Caenorhabditis elegans: one gene and its partners. The protein of the gene in region 1 purifies or fractionates together with the protein of each later gene. This does not show direct contact. Each region holds a gene or a part of one and is shown on either strand. Other genes may lie near its edges.

Region 1 (4,619 bases):
TTTCCATTCGAAATATTTTAAATACCTAAGAAATGTTTTTTGAAATTCCTGTTTTAGGATTGCAACGTCATTTTTTCAACTAAGAATGGCAGATGGTCCAATGGCAAAAAAGTTTCGAATCTGGAATCCCGCAGTTTCAGAAGTGTCTGAAAACCGGGAAGATCCTGGAACAAACCTACAGACTCAAGATGAAGAATCTCCAGACGAGACACCTCTTGATTGCACTTCCAAGACTGCACAAATTCAGTTTCCCCAAGTTTTTCAAGTAATATATCCAAGTACTGTACCAAATGCACAAATAATATTTTTCAGAATTATCTTCAACTTGCACCCCTAATGATTCGCCTTCAACAACAACGTCAAATGGAAGAGTTTGCACGCCGCCAATTCATTTCCACATTATGCCATGCTTCACCAGCACCGATTACTGTACCTCTTCCACGTGTCCAGCAACCCCGTGCAACCACATCAACCAGTTCCTCCTCTTCCACGTCATCAAGCTCTGGGGTTACTGTACCTTCTACAATGAACAATCCACTTGTGGCTAATGCTCTTGGCAGTTCTTTGGTTAATGAAAATTGTTGTGCTGTATGTGGAGCAGTTTTCAGGTAAATACTACAAAGCTCTTGGTTCTGGAATCCAATTTTCTTGATTTCAGACTGACTGGTGACTTAGTACAACATATGCGTAACAATCATCGAAAGAGCAAGTTCAAGAGAAAATCGGATCTTCGTCAATAAGAAACAAAATAACTTTTCCTTTTTTTTCTCCGAGAATTTTATTATTTAGCTACTTAATATTTATTATTTGTCTCAAAACGTTTTTCCAGTGATTTCTCTTTTTCTGTCTTTTCTCTTTCTTGCAATAATTTTTTTCCTAGAATTTCCTCTTTTCAATGAAAAATCTTATTGATATACTTTTTTTTCCAATTTTTTACAAGATGTGGTAGACCAATGCTGTTCTTCGAACAATTTTCATCGAGAAAGGAATAATTCTAGAAAAAATAATTTTAGTGGACGGATGATTCCAACTGAATTTTTTTCTAACAAAAATGAGTTTTCAGCCACAATAAGGCCTCAATCATGAATAGGCCTGAAAATTTCTACAGTGCTCATGATCGCTGTGAGACCCGGAACTCACGCAACAGTGCGCGCCTGGAAACCGTACCATCGAAATGTTAGTTCATTTTTTTTCCTAATTATACTTTTTAAAGAAACACCATATATTCCGTTCAGCTCTAAAAATTATTCAAAAGAGTAATAAAACTATACTAGAAAACTATTTTAGTATTTAGCGAAACTTTCTTAATCTGAATCATAAATTACGATCTACAAGTTTGATCTTTGTTTCCCGCGTCCTGTTAAACATTTTCCATGAGAAAATAAAACACATACAGCACCGACATTTTTCAATTCCATGTTCTTTTTTCAAAACATTGTTTCTGGTCTCAGTGTGAATATAATCATACCTTTTGTTTCCGCTTGTTATCAGTTGAACGTTTATTACTTCATCATCATTTTTCATTAACACGCCCTGTTATGATCAATATACTCGTTTATTTAACGTTTTTACTTTCTGGTGGGAAAGGAAAAACGCGTTTAGAACTCTTTTCCGCACAACGCTCCGAAATAACGTCTTGGGCGTTGTTTAGCGCCGTAAATCAACATGTAGTTTAGATTCATCTGATTTAATACATTTTATTGGTTCTGTCGACTTATTTCTCTACGTATTTAAAATTCGAAATCCAAATTTTTTTCAGAAATGGATCTCACTGTTCCAGTTGAATATTCACGTGCCGGTAACACAACTCACAGCGGTAATGTGCATGCCATTCAAGACGATGAGAAATTCTCGTATGGTACGACTAAAAATAAAATATTTTCTTTTATCATTTTCAAAGTTTGCTATTTCAGGAACTGCTGGATTCCGATTCAAGTCCGAGAAGCTTCCATTCATCGTCTTCCGGTGTGCTTACGTTGCGAGTCTTCGTGCGCGGCAGCTCAACTCAGCTATCGGAGTGATGATTACAGCTTCACACAATCCATCATGTGACAATGGTGTGAAATTAGTGGATCCAAGTGGCGATATGCTCAATGAGCAGTGGGAGGTTAGTGAAAATAAATAAAAAACGCACAGAAACCTTTTTTCTACAGATATACGCGACTGAAGTTGTGAATGCTACTGATGCCGAGCTCCCAGCCGCAGTTCGAGCTCTTGAAAAACAAATTTCAGTCGGAAAGACCCAACTTTCCCGTGTCGTTTGTGGTATGGACACACGTTGCTCTGGTCCTTGTCTGATGAATGCAGCAAGAGCCGGTGCAGCGTTATTCAATGTACAATTCGATGATATCGGTGTTGTGTCGACTCCAATGCTTCATTATGCTGTCAAGGCATTCAACGAGCCAAAATTCGCAGAGCCAACTCACGATGGATATTATTCTGCAATCGCCGATTCGTTCAAGAAGCTGTATGAAATAACTGAGGAACCCAAAGACTCGAGGTACGGTTCAGAGAAAAACTTGCCATTAAAAAAGTATTCTTCAGATATCAACCAAAAGTCATTGTCGATTGCGCAAACGGAGTCGGTGCTCCACGGTTCAGAAATCTTCTTGAGCGAATCCCATCATCACTTCTGGAAGTTGAATTTCGTAATGAATCGGAAGAACTGAATCAGGGATGTGGTGCCGATTTCGTTAAGATTTCGCAAAAGTTACCAGCAAACTTCTCACCGACAGCAGCAGAACCAAAATGTGCTTCATTTGATGGAGATGCCGATCGCTTGATGTACTTCCGTGCAAAGGCTTCAGAAAATTCGGAATCAAACGATGCTGAGCTGTTCGACGGTGACAAAATTGCAGTTCTGATTGTCACATACATTCGGGAGCAACTGAAGGTGATTTATTTCAAAATAATAGTTATCAAATTATGAATAAACTGAGTGTGAAGTTTTCAATGATGCATCATTCTAGGATTACGAAAATTCCACTCCGATGGAACGTCTCCGCCTTGGTATTGTTCAAACAGCATATGCGAATGGAAGTTCAACACGCTACATTCGTGAAAAGTTGGGTATTGAGCCAATTATTGTACCTACTGGAGTCAAGCATCTGCATGAAGCTGCTTCTGAGTTCGACATTGGAATTTATTTCGAGGCCAACGGACACGGAACTGTTGTTTTCAGCGAGATTTTCGACCGCATCATCAGAAGGTATAGGAGACTAAACAGCTTCATAAATTTCTTTTTTTTCAAATATAGAAATGAATTGTTTCAGAACTCCAACTGAATCATTACCTCTCCGTCGTCTAGCACTTTTCTCCCGTGTCATCAATGAAACTGTTGGGGATGCTTTTGCAGATTTGCTTGCCGTGGAAGCTGTTCTCCGTCACTATGGATGGTCTATGGATGACTGGGCCGAAAAACTGTATCGAGATGTTCCGAATGTGCAGATCAAAGTTCCAGTTATTGATCGTTCCATTTTCAAAACGACGAACGCCGAGCAAACTCTTGTGAAACCTGTTGGAATTCAAAAAATGATTGATACGGATGTTGCAAAGTACAATAATTCGAGAGCTTTCATCAGGTAATCTTATCTGAAGTTTTTGTTTCATATTCAAATCGATTTCAGACCATCTGGCACCGAGAACATTGTTCGCGTATACGCTGAAGCGGATACTGTTGAAAATACATTGCAACTCGGAAAATCTCTCGAACAAGTCGTTCTCAACCTTTGCAACTCGAACTGAAGAAAATAAATTCCATATGTAGTCTCGAGTTTTCACAATGTATTTTTATTCATCCCTTCAGTTTAGTCATTTTCAGCATAATCTCCCAAAGTTTTTTTTAAATTTTTCCCTTTCATATTCCCATATTTATTTGTTAAAATTCATTTATGAGTTTCTACTGGTTTCCCCATTTCCCTATATCAACTTTCAACGGTTTTAAAGTAAATTCCTGGTTTCATTAAAACACATCATTGGCCCTTTCCCCTATGCTTTAAAATATATTGAAAAATTGTGATAACTAGATAACAGAGTGATGACGAATTGAAGATTCTCGTTTTGAGACTTCATCTTGAGTAAAAATGAATGTTTCGATATAAAATCATGGGTATTCTAGCTCGTTGTTCAATAAGAAGTCTACAATTTCTTTTGTACTTTCGTTATGAAATTTTCGTTTGTGGAAATTTCCATGGAAACATTTTCCTAATTTTAAGACCGCAAAACAAATTTTCAATCGATTTAAAAATGTCGTCGGATGGTGAGCAGGATGAAGAAAATCCGATCCTAGCACGGCATCGGCGTGAAAAGAAAGAGTTGAGAGGTAATTTTGACATTAAAAGAGAAAAATATTTCAAGTAGACTTGAAATGTACAACCAAACATTTTTTTTGATCTACCCGCCAATACTGAAAACTATGCGGATGTTTTTTAAATGTTCTTGATAGTTTTCAATCAACCAGTTCCGTAGTCTTTCACTTACTTCTTCGCATTTTTCTACAAATTCCCATTATTCATTATGTCGGGCACACCAAAACGAAACAGAACCTATTTGGCCCCGGATGATGAACATACTCCCACTAAAAAGAGGGAATCATCACCAAAATCACGCCAGTCGAAATC
Region 2 (7,874 bases), on another chromosome or scaffold:
GAAAAATACTCGAAATTTTGAAAAAATTGGTACTGAAATTAATTTTCCGGAAATTTTTTGAAAAATCAAACAAAAAAAATTAAAAATTTCAAATTTTTTCCAGAAGTTTGAATTTTTTAATTCGAAAAAATATGGTTTTCGAATTTAAAAAATGAATATTTTCGAGATTTTTTGGAATTCTCAAATATAGGTAGGTTAAAACTTAAATTTAATCTATGAAAAGTTCGAATTAACATCGTAAATTCTACATTTTGAAAACACATAAAGAGCGAATTAAATATTTAAAATTCCAAAAAATAATTTTTTTTTTCTACAAATTCGACGATTCATTCTTCTTCTCCTCTCCACTACTACTGCCTCCAATCCACTTGAAAGTCTCAAAATGCGGATTCTCAACGACTCCATCCTTGCAAAGCTTCTTCAGCACGAGCTTCACATTGTTCAACGCAGCCAGTCGTACAGCCCACGGCGAGTCAGCATAAACCTGATTAGTCACATCCATACTGGTGATCTCCTCGTGCTCTTTGAGCACTTTGATAATCTCGCGTTCTCGTTTCATTCGGTGCTCGATGTACTCGTCAACCTTCTCCACGACCTTATCGATAACCGGACCATGACCCGGATAAATCCTTGTCGCATTGAGATCCTTGATCTTTTGCAGTGAAGTCATATAGTCATGAAGATCCTCGAAGACGGTAGTTCCCTCGCCGAGGATGCAGTCTCCACTGAACAATGCTCGTTCCTCTTGGAGCCACAGAGAGAAGTGATCGGCGGTGTGGCCTGGAGTGGCGATTAGTCTGGAAATTTAATGTTTAAAGATGGACTAGCTTAAAGGTGGTGTAGTCGAATTTTTTTTAATTTCTTTATTGGACTCAAAATTGTCTGAAAACACCGAATTTTTGTTTTTTGATCCCAGCCCTGAAACTGTGGTATTAACTGTAGTAGCATAGCTCTTTTTCAAAAAATTGAATTGCCATGAGAAATTTTTTTTTGGAAATTTCAAGATATATCAATTTAGCCTTTCTTCGAGTTATTTTAAAGGTGGTGTAGTCGAATTTTTTTTAATTTCTTTATTGGACTCAAAATTGTCTGAAAACACCGAATTTCATAATGAAACTTCTTGAAAACTTTTCAAAAAAAAGTTATGGCCTCTTGAAAAATGGCCTAAAATTAGTGAAAATTTGAAATTTGACCGACTTATCATTGTCGCAGCGGCTGGAAACAATTTTTTTTTGAAATTGTCGTCTAATTTTGGCTATACAGGTCGATTATCTTGCGTTTTCAGCTTTATTAAGGTATTTGAAAGTCGATGGACGAAGAGATTTGTCAAATTTTTTTCATCAATTCTCTTCGTCCATCGACTTTCAAATACCTTAATAAAGCTGAAAATGCAAGATAATCGACCTGTATACCCAAAATTAGACGACAATTTCAAAAAAAAATTGTTTCCAGCCGCTGCGACAATGATAAGTCGGTCAAATTTCAAATTTTCACTAATTTTAGGCCATTTTTCAAGAGGCCATAACTTTTTTTTGAAAAGTTTTCAAGAAGTTTCATTATGAAATTCGGTGTTTTCAGACAATTTTGAGTCCAATAAAGAAATTTAAAAAAATTCGACTACACCACTTTTAAAATAACTCGAAGAAAGGCTAAATTGATATATCTTGAAATTTCCAAAAAAAAATTTCTCATGGCAATTCAATTTTTTTGAAAAAGAGCTATGCTACTACAGTTAATACCACAGTTTCAGGGCTGGGATCAAAAAACAATAAGTGTTTCGTTTTGATTTTGGACCAAGAAAAATTGAAATTTGGGAAAAATCAAAAAAAAACCAACAAAAAATTTGATACTTGAATTAATTTTTTTACCGTGAAAAATGCATTTTTTTTTGGTTTTTCGGTCTTAAAAAAACAAACAAAAAAATCAATTTTTCGTTACAATGGCAAAAAAATTCAAAAAAAAATCCCAGCCTTGTACAATACCACTACAGTACCCCCTATAATAATACTATAGTGCAACTACAATATACCTACAGTACACGTACAAAATAGCTATAGTACCAGTACACTTACAGTACTACTGTACTACTGTACCCCTACAGTACTAATGCAGCACACCTTCGGAACTTCTACAGTACCTCCGTAGTACCACTACAGTACCCCTATAATACTACTACAATGTCCCTACATTACCCCTACAGTACTACTACTACTACAGTATTGCTACCATTACGGCACTACTGTACTAACACATTTTTTTGGAACAAACGTTCAAAAAATTTTGTATTCATAAATTCCTTTTTGAAAAAAAATATGGATCCTTTTTTTTTTTGAGAATTTCAACAAAAAACTGAGATTTCAAGGTATTTTTTGAGGAACATTAATTGTTAAGGTTTTTTCCTTATTATTTTCGGAGATTTTCGACAAAAATTAGGAATTTAAAAAATCGTCCCGGAAAAAAAAATAATATAGAAAATTTCAAAGGAATTTAAAATCAAAAATTCTTAAAAATAACAGATGGTAACTGAAATTGCATTTAATTTGAAATTTCAGAAAATTCCAATTTTTTCCAAATTTTCACAACAAAAAATCGATTTCTAGCAGTACCCCCTACAACACTACTCATTTAAAAAGACACAATTAATTTGTTTCTAGAAATACAGTACTACTACAGTACCCCAATATCACTACTTCAGTACCCACCCCTCCCAATATCACTACAGTACCCCTGAAGTACTCCTACAGTAACCCTATAATACTACTACAGTACAACCGAAATATACCTACAGTACCTCTACAAAACTCCTTCACTACCCATATAGTACTACTAGAGTGCCCCTACGGCACTATTACAGTACTCCTATAATATACCTACAGTAACCCTACACTATCACTATAGTACTACTAAAGGAGGACTAACGGTTCGAACGATTTTGAACGTATAGACCCAAATTGAGCTCAAATGAACGAATTTCGTAATGAAACTGCTCAAAACAATTTTCAAACATTTTTTATGGCGGTTCAAAATTTTGAAAAAATTACACTGATTTTACCTAAAATCATGAGTTTTTCCCATTTTTTCGTGTCACATCTGTCCGAAGTTGGATTTTTTGGAATTATCGTCCTTTATTGCATATATTGGCAATTAATCTCATTTAATTTCGTGGATTAAAGTACATTTAAAGCCGATAGGTAACCAATTTCGATGATTTTTGGTTACCTAACGGCTTTAAATGTACCTTAATCGACGAAATTAAATGAGATTAATTACCAATATATGTAATAAAGGACGATAATTCATTTTTTCAATTTTTTCAAAATTTTGAAACGCCATAAAAAATTTTTGAAAATTGTTTTGAGCAGTTTCATTACGAAATTCGTTCATTTGAGCTCATTTTGGGTCTATACGGTCAAAATCGTCCGAACCGTTAGTCCTCCTTAATGCTACAGTACATACCTACAGTGCACCTACAGCGGAACTACAGTATCCCTACAGTACTACTACGGTTTTTTTCTAATAAAACCAATTCTCTAATGATAAATGCTCACTTCAGCGTGGCTCCATCAACTGCAACCTCAAACCCATCGTCAACATAATGAAATCTCTCGACACCCTCATCCTTGTCCCGTTTCATTTTATAAATAGGTATCTTCTTTTTATCCAAAATCTCATCAGTAATATTATCGATTCCACCAACATGATCGCCATGCCAATGCGTAATAACGATATATTCAATGTGGGAATTCGTAGATGCGAGAACTGATTTCAGTGCCGAAATGTACTCGGTGACGTTCGGCTCACCAGTGTCCACGAGGATTTTTCTGAAAGAAAAAATTTGATTAGAAATTAAAAATTTTCAGAATATTGCTGCCTACTTTGCACCAGTGCCCAGTAGATATGTATTAGTTCCTTGAAGAGTGAAGGGGCCGGGATTGTGGCCGAGAATTCTGGTGACCGCGTCGGAGAGCTTCTCGATGGGCTCCACGTGAGTGAGGCTTGGCATGGCTCTGAAAAAAAGAATTTCGAGATTTTCAGAGAAGTTTTGAAAAAAGTGTAGTGCTTTATGCAAAATTTGTGATTTTTTTTGCAGAGTAAATTCGAAACTGCAATTGCCCGAAAATCAAAACCAGCGCTACATTAGTCAGTTAAAGAGATACTGTAGTTTTCGCAACGAGATATTTTGCGCGTCAATTATGTTGCGCAATAGATTTCAGTTTTAGTTTCGGTTATTTCGATATATTTTAAATAATTTAATTCTTTAATTCCTAAATCTAGTCATAATCTAGTCTAAATCTACTCCAATCAGTGTTGTTTTACGCAGCTAGCTGTCGATTTACGGAGACTTTTTTTTCAATTTTTGCCAACTTTTACAGGTTCTGATTGTTAATAAATGCACAATTTTTTTAAATAATACAAAACTTTACAACCAATTTGATTTAACTTTTTTTCCGGAAAAATTACTGAATTTCGAGACATTGTTTCAAATGGGAAACTATGAAGAATTAAAGAAAACCAACTGAAAAGTGATCGATAATCGTTCTGTGACTTGTTTCGTCTATCTCTCTCTCTCTTTCTAAATTTCCCTTATTTTCGGAACACTGTAGTCAGTTGGCTACACTTAAATGATGATGTTTGCCAATTTCTAGGTGTCAGCCAATGGAATTTTGCAATTTTGTGACTTGGGCGATAAGTCAGAATGTATTGATAATGCAATTGTATAGTACAATGCAATTTCTGGCAAATCGGCAAATTGCGGGAATTGAAAATTTCCGGCAAACCGGCAAATTGCCAGAATTGAAAATTTCCGGCAAAAAGGCAAATTGCCGGAATTGAAAATTTCCGGCAAATCGGCAAATTGCGGGAATTGAAATTTTCCGGCAAATCAGTATATTGCCAGAATTGAAAATTTCCGGCAAAAAGGCAAATTGCCGGAATTGAAAATTTCCGGCAAATCGGCAAATTGCGGGAATTGAAATTTTCCGGCAAATCAGTATATTGCCGGAATTGAAAATTTCCGGCAAACCGGCAAATTGCCGGAATTGAAAATTTCCGGCAAATCGGCAATTTACAATGTTTGTTAAAAATTTTTTAAAGCCCCCTAAAACTAATAAATATTCAAAAAAAAGTAGTCTTCTTAAAAAATTCAGAGAAAATTCAGAAAAAAAAATGTCTTTATTAGGGAACAAATTTTGGTATCATTGTAGGTTTACGCAGCTGGATGTCGATTTACGAGCGGAATTTTTTTTCAATTTTTCTCAGATTCATGAGAAACAATATCATACATCCTGGAAAATAGTTTTTTTTTAATCATGGCATTGTAGATTTACGCATCTCTGTGTCGATTTACGAGCACTGGTTTTTTTCAGAATTTAGGAATTAAATTATTTATTTAAAAATTGAATAATTTAAAAATATTATCAATTAACACAACAATTTCTAAAAGTCAGAAAAAACCTCGTAAATCGACACAAGCAGTCAGAATTCACCAAAAAATGAGCTCGTAAATCTACACTGGCATCCGAAATTTTGACTTGAATTTAAAAAATAACTGAACACAAGCTCGTAAATCGACACAAAAAGCCGGAATTTCTAATTTTCTACTATTCTCGTAAATCGACAGAAAACCGAAATTTCGAAAATTCAGGAAAAAGATCAAAAAAAAATTCGTGGAAAAATCCTGAAAAAGCTCGTACATCGACACAAAGAGGCAAAATTTACCAAAGAATTAATGAGCTAGTAAAACTACACAAAGAGCTGAAATTCCTAATTTTCTTTGTCATTCTCGTAAATCGGCACAAAACCGAAATTATGAAAATTCAAAAAAAAAATCGTCGAGAAAGCCTGGAAAAGCTCGTAAATCGACACAAAAAGCCGAAATTTTGAAAAAAAAAACTTTCGCGCCAAGACCCCGAATTACAAACCAACCTATGTGCCTTTGAATTAACCAAATAGGCAACACCGGCGTATGCGAAATCCGTATAAAAACGAAGCATCGTCCAGGCTCGTCCAACGTACGCCGTCATCGTGTTCTGAATTACGAGATACTCATCTATGTTTCCGCCCCCGCCTCTGGGTGATTCAGAAATATAGGTCATTAGGTCGTTTTAGGACCAATTTTCATGGAAAATCGATCGGATAGAGAAAAATGGATTAAAAATGGTAGAAATTTAATTAAAATTTCAAAAAAAAACATTAACAATGGTGACAGGAGAGGATTGACGATATTAAATTAAAATAGTTTTTAAAAATTGGGAGCTGAGGAAAAAAAAGAAAAAAATATTCAAAACAAAAAAAAACTAAAAACTAGGTAATGATAAAAAGTCGCTGGAAATCGATTTTTATGGAAATTTGGATAAAAATTGGAAATTTTAGGATTTTTCCGAAAAATTTCGAGAATTTTAACAAAAATAGGATTTTTTGGAGAAAAAATTCAGTTTTTTTTCCAAAATTTTGAGAATTTTTGCAAAAATCTGGGAGTTTTAATCAAAAAGTTGAAATTTTTTCTATTTTTCCAAAATTTTTGAGAATTTTCGCTAAAATCTGAAATTTTTAATTAAAATTTTTATTTTTTTCAGTTTTTTTGGGATTCTCAAAAAAATGTTCGATAAAAAAATCGAATTTTTAGAATTTTCACGATTTTTCAAAATTTTTGACTTTTTCTGTAAAATCGGGAATTTTTAATTAAAAAGTTCAAACAATTTTCTGTTTAGCTGAATTTTTTGGATAAAAAATTTAATTTTTAGAATTTCCAGGATTTACCAATTTTATCGGGAATTTCAACAAAACGCTATAATTTTAAGAAACTTTTCTATAATTTTTTTTTGAAATTCCGGAAATTTCAGTATTTTTGACTGAAAAAGTTTTTAAAAAAATTACTAAAAACTAAAATTTCTGAATTTTTCTAAATTTTCCAAAATTTTTCAACTATTCGCAAAAAAATCGATTTCCAGGCGAAAAAAAAACAAACTAAACAATTTTACAAATATAAGGGGAGTAAAATGAGAAAATGTGGCTAGACTGTAGCATTTGATAACAACAGAAACGAACAAATCGGTATTATGGGGAAAAAAAGTCAAGTGTTAGACGGTAGAAAAATGAAATTTTGAGCAAAAATGTGGGTCCCGCAACGATTTGTGAGGGGGGGGGGGGGGATACTGTAGTTTGACCTAATTCATCGTGAAAATGGTGTGCTGAATGCCGAAATTCATTTTGAAATTTGTGAGAATTTTGAGCTCCGTCTGAAGTCGTTCGATTTTCAACTGTACTGCCTGACTGTACTCGCGGCTTTCCGATTGTGAACGAATTTCGTGCTCTTTTGTGCTGAAAATAGGAAGGTAGAATTGAGAATTTAAAAAAAAAAATATTTTTGAAAAAATGTTTTCAAAAATTTCAAAAAAACATTTTTTGTTGGAATTTTTACTAATTTGAGAGAAATTCGGAATTTTTTATAAAGCTCATTTCTTCCCGCAATTTAATATTGGTTTTACCAAGAAAAGTAAGTATAAATTGCAATTTTTGAAAATTGGCGAAAAAATAATTTGTAAATTTTTTTAGAACTTCAGATTTTCCAGATTTCCTGTTCAAAATATTAAGAAATTTTTTTTCAGAATTTTAAAATTTTGAAAATTTCAACAAAAAACTGTGCTTTTATAAGATTTACAGAATTTTTAAGCTTTTTCGTTAAAAAACTTATTTTAAAATTTTTCTAATTGTAAGAAAAAATAAATTTCATACAATTTCAGGCTTTTTTCTCGAAAATTAAAAAAAAAAACTGGGATTTTAAGAAATTTGTCTGAAAAAAATTCGGCAAATTTTCGATTTTCCGGAAATCGATTTCGGCAATTTGGAAAATTTGTCAGAAATCTTTAATCTCC
Region 3 (4,568 bases), on another chromosome or scaffold:
ATTTTTATGGCTTTTTTTCATTAAAATTTTTTGTTGAAAAATTTGCAGAAAAATATCGGTTTGGAATTTTTTTTCTAGAATAAAAAATTTAATTTTTCGAATTTTCAAGAACTTTTAGGAAGTTTGCCTTTTTTTGTAAAGTAAAAAAAAAAACAAAATTTAATAGAAAATTGAGTTTTTTAAACATTTTTTTTTTCGTGTTTTTAGGGGAAAAAAATCGAATTTTCTGATTGATTTTCCAATTTTTCGGTAAAAATTATTGTTTTTTTTTTGTTAAAAATGGGGGTTTTTGGGTTTTTCGTGATTTTGGCCGAAAAAACGCTTTTTTTAATCGGAAAAACCTATTTTTACAGCATTTTTTCATTAAAAAATTTTCTTTTTGCAAACATTTGCAAAAGATATCGGTTTTTCGATTTTTTAAATCCTAAAATCGAAAATTTAATTTTTCGAAATATACACCAGCTTTTAGGAAATTTTCCTTTTTCGTAAAGTAAAAAGAAACAAAATTAAAACAAAACGAGACAAAATAATACGGGTATTCATCTTTTTAAGAAATAATTCAATTTTGCCTATTTCGCCAGTTTCCTCCACGAGCAGAGTCATTCTCGCCGCGTCGGCCGCCACCTCCTCCTCCTCTTCCTCGTCGTGATCCTCCTCCGAACCTGCCTCCGACGGTGTTTGAGCCATTGTGAGTTGCGAATTGCGGATTTGCTTGGAACGTAGTCGTCATTGAATTGTGATCGAACACGTTACTTCTGGATCCAAAACTTCCACCGACCACCGTTTTCGGCGCATCTTCAACCTTCAAGTCCTGAGGCAGAGTCCGCGGCGGAAGGGATCGTCCACGCGAAGAAGCATCACGTCTACCGAGAGCTGGCTTTTCTTCTGGAACAGCCGGAAGGAGCACTTCTCTCGTTGAACGGTCACTTCCCCAGGTGGCTCTCGGAGCTCTCGGAGCATCCTGCTTCAAATCCTGAGCCGGCGGCTGAGCCCGCGGGATAGAGCGTCCGCGTGAAGCATCACGTCTACCGAGAGCTGGCTTTTCTTCTGGAACAGTCGGGAGCATTTCCCTCGTTGGACGATCATTTCCCCAAGCGAGGGCGCATTTCGGGGCTTTTAGCTTCAAATCCTGAATCGACGGCGCAGCTCCACGCGAAAAATCCGTTTTTTCGAATGATTTTTCCTTGGAAACAGAATGAGCCACGTGCTCCTTGACAGTCGGCAGCACTGCCATCGTTGGACGACGATCACCGCCGGAGGAGACGAAACGAGCTCCTCCACGTGGTGGCTTGTATTTCGGCGCTCCTGCCGCCGCCGTCGGCTTCTCCTGGTTTTCCTTCTTTTGCTGAATATCAGCTCTCATTACGATCGGCCATAGGGAGTTGGTGATGAAATTGATCATGACTCCACCACCGTTCATGAGCTGGCTGGAAAATAGATTTTGATTAAATAATTGCAGGGTTTAAAGGTGGAAAGTGGGGAAATTGCTTTAAAACACGCCTATAGGGCCACAATGACCGAATATCATGATTTAAAAAATTCAAAAAAAATTTCTAGATTTTATATGATTTTTTGAAAATTGAAAAACTCACAGTTTTCACCTAATTCCTATTTGAATTACCGCCAATTGGATTTGTTCGATTGAGCGCGCTTGCATTATTTTTATCAATTAATTTTATTTATTCTCGTTATTTCACTGATTTTCTATGTTTTTTCATCAGAAAATGAAAGAATAAATAAGAAAAATGCGAAATGTTTGTTAAAAAGTAATTGAAAATGCGTAAAACTGTGAATATATATATATATATACTATTATAATTTCAGTTCCGACGACAACAAGCCTGAAATTAGTATATTTTACAGTTTTACTCATTTTCAATTACTTTTTAACAAACATTTTGCATTTTTCTTGTTTATTTCTTTCATTTTCCGATGAAAAAACACAGAAAAATAAGAAAATCAGTCAAATGACGAGAATAAATAAAATTAATTAATAAAAATAATGCAAGCGCGCTCCACCGAACCTGACGGAAATTCAAAAATAATTAGGTGAAAACTGTTTTTTTCAATTTTCAAAAAATCATATAAAATCTAGAAAATTTTATTCGGTCATTGTGGCCACGGGCGTGTTTTGAAGCAATTTCCCCACTGAGCGTAGTCCACCTTTAAATAATTGCAGATTTTAATGATTTTTTCTTCTAATTACCCAAATTCTTCCTTGAGCTTTGTCTTGTCCTCAGCTGAGAGCTTCCTGCCAAGTTCCAGGCGAATGAACTTGTCACGTGGCGCGTCTGGAAACAATGTGGACTCTGAAAATGGAAATTTAATTATTTTTCCCACATTTCTCAATGAAATCATATACTCGGCTGTTCCTTTAGCACTAGGCGAACAGTGACATTGCGAAAACTATCTCTTCTGGTGATGAATTTGATTTCTGGGTCCTTAGCCCCAGCAGCAGCGTCGGAGGGAAGCATCGAGAGAAGCTTCGGTTTCCTCAATCTCGAGATATACTCAATATCCTTGAGCTCCCTTCTCAGCTTCTCGAATCCCGCCATCACGTTTTGTCCGACGGCAAAGCGGAATAGCACTGGAAAACAAAATCAGAAAAAATTGGATGATTTTAACAAGCTAAAATACAAACTTTCTGTGCTATCCGCATCCAAATTCGCCAGAACTTCCATTTTCAGCAGTCTTTCCTCCAGAAATCGCTTGGGATTCTTTTTGAGATACTGGAAAAAACGGGAAATTTATTAGGTTATTTCGGAAAACTCACATCATCCTCCGGGTTCGCATATTTCAAGCCAGCAAGCTTCAAAGTCTCTGAAAGCGGCATTTTGAAGCCGGTTGGTCGCTCGAACGGCATTTTCGCAGTTTTCTGGAAAAATTTCCGATGAAAACAATGAAAAATTAAAGAAAATTGGGAGAAAAACAGGGGCCGTGGGGGCCCGTAAATCCTGCTACAGTAGTCAGGCGTTGGGTCTCGCCACGATCATGCCGCACCGCTTTTGAATTTTATTCATTTTTATTGATTTTTATTGATATTCCAACAAAAAAAGTGATTTTTAAATTAAAATTCTTTATTTACGAGTAAAAATCGAATAAATGTAGTACAATTTAGTGCTTCACTTCTCCGTTCTCGCAGTTTCGACGTTTTCTGAAATAAATTCAATTTAATCAACGTTTTTTCCATTATTTTTCCAACTTGTACACGATTTCTCCGCACTGAGCGATTTAGAAATTCCCTCTTTTGGTGGCATATCATCAAATTCAATATCCATCGACTCATTCGCATTGTCCTTCGCATCCAACTTCGCCGACGCTTGATGAGATTCTCCGAGTTCCCCGACGAAAATCGCCTTTTGCTGCATTCTCTCATTATTCTGCCAGTCCAAAGGCTCTTTCAGTGTCACTTGATGCTCCGTGGCGGCCTGAGACAGCAAATCACCGAGCTTCTTGTAATTTGGCCTGTCGAAATACGACGTTTGATCCAGAATCGTGAGAATTTCATTAAATTGCTTCGGGACTCCTTCGAAAAACTCGGATCGAAGCGGCTCGCTTCGAATCGCGACTTTCGCCTCTCCAATCTGCTTGTGATTCTTGTGACCGTCGATATTCGCCCATGGAAGTGGTCCCTTGAGCAACTCAATACCCATGTAAAACCAGCTTTCCAAGTCGTCCCGTGCACATTGGTCCTTGTGAGAGTGGGCAGAAACTGCACAATATTGAAAAGTTCCCATCAGTGCTGCAGCGGTTCTCGGCGGGATGATTTTGCCCTCCTTGTCTCTGAAAATTGTCAGTTTTTGGCTGGAATTCTAGCTCTTGACTAGATTATCCTATAATAGCTACTTCAAAAATTGTTTATCAGTTTTCCATGTCCAAAAAAAAATCGAAATTTTAAGATTTTTTTTCCGATAATTCGAAAAAAAAAATCCGATTTTTCGAGAAATACACAGATTTGTGCCGAACTAGGCCATTTTGGCTCAGCCATATCTAGATATCTAGATATGGCTGAGCCAAAATGGCCTAATTCGGCACAAACTCTTCCATTTCAATTTACGAGGGAAGCCAGAAATCTGTTCTCGAAAAATCGGATTTTTTTTCGAATTTTCGGAGAAAAAATCGGAAATTTTCGATTTTATATATATCGTCGTCTGGGTAGATTTACGGCGCGTTGCGTGTCGCGTCGCGGCTCGATTGTAAAACTAAACGCAGTTGTCCGTGTGGAGTACACGACACTTTCCCACGCGTTGTCTCCGGCAGGCGATTCTCAATGGAGCGCTAAAAATTCAATGAGCAAGGCCAAAACCCCGTGAAATAGCCTAAAAGTTTGGGCATTTTTCACGGGGTTCTGGCCTTCCTCATTGAATTTTTGCGCTCCATTGATAATCGCCCGCCGGACAATGCGTGGAAATATGTCGTGTACTCCACGCGGACAAATACATTAAGTATTACAACTAAAAACGAGCCGCGACGCGACACGCAACGCGCGGTAAATCTACCCCAGATATGGCCGAACCAAAATGGCCTAGTTCGGCAAACTCTTCCATTTCAATTCATGAGGGAAGCCA
Region 4 (4,209 bases), on another chromosome or scaffold:
AAAGCTGAGAATCTTCGGAAAATGAAAAATGTAAATTATACATTGAGCAAGAAGTTTCAAGTTGAAGAAAATGTGAAAATTATTAAATATCTGCAAGTTATGAGCTCCATGTTGGTTTTTCTCATATTTTTTGTTATTATATTTATTGTAGTTCCTAGAGTATATCTGGGTTCAAAAACATATTCGGGTCAAGTTATGATTTCACTTTTTGATATTAATTTGGCACTTGGTGCAATTCTAATTCCTTCCGTTTGCGTTTTACATTTACGGAAAACTAGAGATATGCCATTTTCTGTAGGTTTTTATCAATTTTTCAGATTTTCATTATATATTTTCAGGGGAAAATCCATTGTTTGAATAAGAGACGCGATGACCGTCAGGTGAACCCGATTACTGTATTTGAAGACGTTACAAAATCATATTTCGATCAATTTCAAACATCTTGGCGATGATTCATATGATTTTTGGAAATATTACTTTGAAGTTTTGTTATAAAATGTTACATTAGAAACATTTGTGTTTTTTAAACATGTTTTATTCTTCAGTGATTCTTCCAGCACAAAACAAAAACAGCACAAAGTCCGTTGTTTTATTTTTAGTGAGAGCGTCACTTTGTTTTTATAAATAATTTAGATTCTTTTATTCATATAATTTTTGGGTAAAAAACTGTTTTTGGTTTTTTGAAAAATTTCATTAAAGTGAAACATTAACCACGGTAGAATTAAAGGCGCAGCATGAATAAGTTTTCGTGTGCTCCGCAACGATTTTAACTACCTTAACCTACAATCGGAATTCGTTTAAAAAACAAAAAGCGAGTCATTTTGTTTCAATAAAAAGTTGAGTTTTTCTTAAATACTTATCAATATTTTCTCCAAATTTCATTCGGTTACTATCAAAAAAAAGTTTTTTATTAATTACGGTCGGTTTAAAGGCACAGAAGGAAAAAAGTGTTTGTCAGTATCGCAGCGATTTTAATTACCGCATACCATTATTGAAATTTTGTTTGAAAAAAACAAATTACTCGAAATGCGCGCGCGGTATTCACCATTTGTATCGTTCTTTTTCCCGAAATTTCGTTGTTTTTGTGTTCGACACAATATATTCAATAGTTTGTAGCGATGAAAACCTTGATAAGCAATAGGGGGCGTCTCGAATTTTCGAAAGAGAGTATAAAGAAGATAAATTTTTTTTCGCTCATTGATTTCTTTTCATTTTTCTTTATCTTTTTTGATGAACAGCAGCAGTTGTTCCATTTCTACACGTATTTTGTTGCTCTCTATTTCTCTGAACTCTCTGTTTGTGTGGGTGCTCTCCTTTGGCGCCAACAACTGCAGCTGGCATTTCTTTTCTTTTTTCGCTGCGAAATCTGAACTATTCCTGCCCACCCACCAGAAGATAAATAAATTCTTCGTGTTCTTAACATGTCTGTCTACCTGGACTTTAAAAACCCCATTTAAAAGTTGCATTTGAGGTCAAAAGTTATCCCAGAAGAGTTCGAGCACATTTTAGGTCGGCCCATTTCTAAAGTTATTCATTTTTCTATGTTTACTATCACTGAACATTGACCAACCACTTGACTTTCGTGATAAGATACGAAGCGATCATTTTCTGTTTACTATTTTCTCTTTTCTCATAGTCAGTCCATTTTATTTTCTGATCTATAATATTTATTTTCAGCCTAAAATGGGAATCGCCGTCGTTGAAACCCCCACAAAACCATTCGCAGGACAGAAACCCGGAACATCTGGTCTTCGCAAACGGGTTCCGGAATTCCAGCAGCAGAATTACACGGAAAACTTTGTTCAAGCAATTTTGGATGCTGGTCTTGGATCGAAAAAGAAGGGTTCTCAGTTGGTTGTTGGTGGAGATGGACGGTTTCTTTCGATGGAAGCCACAAATGTGATTATTAAAATTGCAGCAGCCAATGGGGTAAGAAATATTGAGAAATTTTAGTAATTTTTTTATAAATTTGAGTTTTTCAGCTTTCCCGTCTTATCGTCGGTCAAAACGGTTTCTTGTCGACGCCAGCTCTCTCGAATCTTATCAGAAAAGGACACGAAGGTCGTGTTGTTGATGGAGGAATAATTCTCACTGCTAGTCACAATCCAGGAGGTCCAAAGGGAGATTTTGGAATCAAATTCAACTGCGAAAATGGTGGACCTGCTCCAGATCAAGTCACTGATGCCATTTATCAGATCACAACTAAAATCGATAAATACTTGATTGCCAAGGATTTAGAATGCGATTTTACACAAGTTGGAAGGTAAACACATCAATATTTTGATTACATTGATGTACATTAATTTTCAGATATGAATATGATATTGAGGGAGTTGGTCACTTTGTCGTTGACGTCATTGATTCAGTTACCGAATACATCAACCTCATGCAGAAAATCTTTGATTTCCCAAAAATCAAATCCCTTCTCGCTGGTGAACTTACTGGACGCAAACTCAGAGTTTTACTTGATTCGATGCACGGAGCAACTGGACCATACATCTCTACAATTCTTGTCGATCATCTTGGAGCTGATCCTTCTGATCTTTTGAGAACTGTTCCAAAGCCAGATTTCGGTGGAGGTCATCCAGATCCAAATCTCACCTACGCAAAAACTCTTGTTGAACGCCTCCACACCGGAGAACACGATTTAGGAGCTGCATTTGATGGAGATGGTGATCGTAATATGATTCTTGGAAAGAATGGCTTCTTCGTTTGCCCCAGTGATTCTTTAGCTGTTATTGCTGATAACATTGATTATATTCCATATTTCAAGACTCGTAAGGTTGCTGGTTTTGCTCGTTCAATGCCAACTGCTGGAGCTGTTGATTTGGTTGCCAAGGCAAAGGGACTTCAAGTGTATGAGACACCGACCGGTTGGAAGTACTTTGGAAATCTTATGGATGCTGGAAGAATTGCTATTTGTGGAGAAGAATCATTCGGAACTGGATCTGATCACATTCGTGAGAAGGATGGCGTTTGGGCACTTCTTGCATGGCTTCAAATTCTCGCAGACCGAAAAGAATCCGTCGAGGAAATTGTGACGAAGCATTGGCAGAAATATGGAAGAAATGTGTTCACTCGTTACGACTATGAGAATGTGGATGCAGCTGGTGCCAACTTGTTGATGACTTTCCTTGAAGCTCAATTGCCAGCATTTGTTGGAAGAGATTTCTCGGCAAATGGGGTTACATATAAGGTGAGAGAAAGTTCGAAAAGATTTATTTTTTCTAAAAAATACTATTTCCAGGTTGCTGTCGCTGACAATTTCCAATATACTGATCCAGTGGATGGTTCAGTTGCAACCAAACAAGGACTCCGAATTGTCTTCGAAGATGGATCTCGATTGGTATTCCGACTCTCTGGAACAGGATCTGCCGGTGCTACCATCCGTCTCTACGTTGATTCGTACATTCCTTCAAATGACACTTCTCGCCTTCTACTTCCAGCTCACGAATTGCTCAAACCATTGGTGTTGATTGCACTTGATACTTGCAAAATGGAGCAGTTCACTAATCGCAAGGCTCCAACTGTTATCACATAATTTTAGTATTTAAAAATGATTTATATATTGCATGAGTTTAGCTAAATAATTATGTGTAGATTTTCCTCGGTTTATATAATTTTATGTTGCACGTAAACGAAAAGTTGAATGAAAATTTGAAAACTTATGAGAATATTGTGAAATACATCAATGTTGGTTTTTGGAAAAAAAAGTTGATGTTTGTGGTTTTCTGATGTCGATTTAGTGAGAAATGAGAAACGCAGACACTGAGAGCGAAGGGTTCAAAAGCGCCAGATTGTGACGAATTCTTCATTTTATTCTGAAAAATGGTTTCCTATAAACTAATTTATTTTCAATCTCGTGGAAATGGAGAAATCGCTCGTCAAGTTTTCGCTTTTGCCGGCCAAGAATTTATTGATGAGCGTATTTCTAAAGAGCAGTGGGCAGAAATTAAAAATAGTAAGTTCAAAAGTTGCATTTTAGAATGAAATCCTCAGTTTAAAAAGTTGATTAATTACAATGTAGCGAAATGCTTCAGTTTTTAAGTGGTATCCCGCCACGAACAAAATATCCTCACATAAAGATTAAGGTGTGCCTTTAAGCAGTACAGTAACCCATTTTACAATTTTATTCGATTTTTCCACATTATTAAATAAATTCAATTCGATTTTCTACTGAAAAAAATCGAAAATATAACAATTCAAATA

Evidence for each region.
Region 2: the proteins of pgm-3 (region 1) and Y53F4B.39 fractionate together in Caenorhabditis elegans (co-fractionation; one large-scale study listed by BioGRID). This does not show direct contact.
Region 3: the proteins of pgm-3 (region 1) and Y66D12A.19 fractionate together in Caenorhabditis elegans (co-fractionation; one large-scale study listed by BioGRID). This does not show direct contact.
Region 4: the proteins of pgm-3 (region 1) and pgm-1 fractionate together in Caenorhabditis elegans (co-fractionation; one large-scale study listed by BioGRID). This does not show direct contact.

The regions. Positions count from the first base shown.
Region 1 is NC_003282.8:8,723,963-8,728,581, forward strand, and holds pgm-3 (Phosphoacetylglucosamine mutase), read left to right. Parts: upstream 1-1,759; 5' UTR 1,760-1,761; coding exon 1,762-1,858; intron 1,859-1,913; coding exon 1,914-2,107; intron 2,108-2,153; coding exon 2,154-2,500; intron 2,501-2,544; coding exon 2,545-2,893; intron 2,894-2,969; coding exon 2,970-3,208; intron 3,209-3,272; coding exon 3,273-3,581; intron 3,582-3,626; coding exon 3,627-3,744; 3' UTR 3,745-4,098; downstream 4,099-4,619. Other genes in the region: F21D5.9 (C2H2-type domain-containing protein), read left to right, coding at 86-265, 313-608, 659-740; otub-3 (OTU domain-containing protein), read left to right, coding at 4,516-4,619.
Region 2 is NC_003280.10:15,108,301-15,116,174, reverse strand, and holds the start of Y53F4B.39 (Beta-lactamase-like protein 2 homolog), read right to left. Parts: upstream 6,032-7,874; 5' UTR 6,024-6,031; coding exon 5,926-6,023; intron 4,008-5,925; coding exon 3,876-4,007; intron 3,822-3,875; coding exon 3,549-3,821; intron 798-3,548; coding exon 311-797; 3' UTR 1-310. Other genes in the region: wshc-4 (HEPN_LA2681 domain-containing protein), read right to left, coding at 7,167-7,320.
Region 3 is NC_003281.10:11,507,422-11,511,989, reverse strand, and holds Y66D12A.19 (ArgoN domain-containing protein), read right to left. Parts: upstream 2,910-4,568; 5' UTR 2,864-2,909; coding exon 2,774-2,863; intron 2,730-2,773; coding exon 2,642-2,729; intron 2,588-2,641; coding exon 2,363-2,587; intron 2,310-2,362; coding exon 2,207-2,309; intron 1,428-2,206; coding exon 560-1,427; 3' UTR 523-559; downstream 1-522. Other genes in the region: Serine/threonine-protein kinase spe-6, read right to left, coding at 3,123-3,154, 3,203-3,783.
Region 4 is NC_003280.10:4,887,760-4,891,968, forward strand, and holds pgm-1 (phosphoglucomutase (alpha-D-glucose-1,6-bisphosphate-dependent)), read left to right. Parts: upstream 1-1,677; 5' UTR 1,678-1,683; coding exon 1,684-1,929; intron 1,930-1,982; coding exon 1,983-2,263; intron 2,264-2,310; coding exon 2,311-3,196; intron 3,197-3,247; coding exon 3,248-3,541; 3' UTR 3,542-3,668; downstream 3,669-4,209. Other genes in the region: R05F9.7 (Serpentine Receptor, class E (Epsilon)), read left to right, coding at 1-294, 339-452; gst-9 (putative glutathione S-transferase 9), read left to right, coding at 3,829-3,961.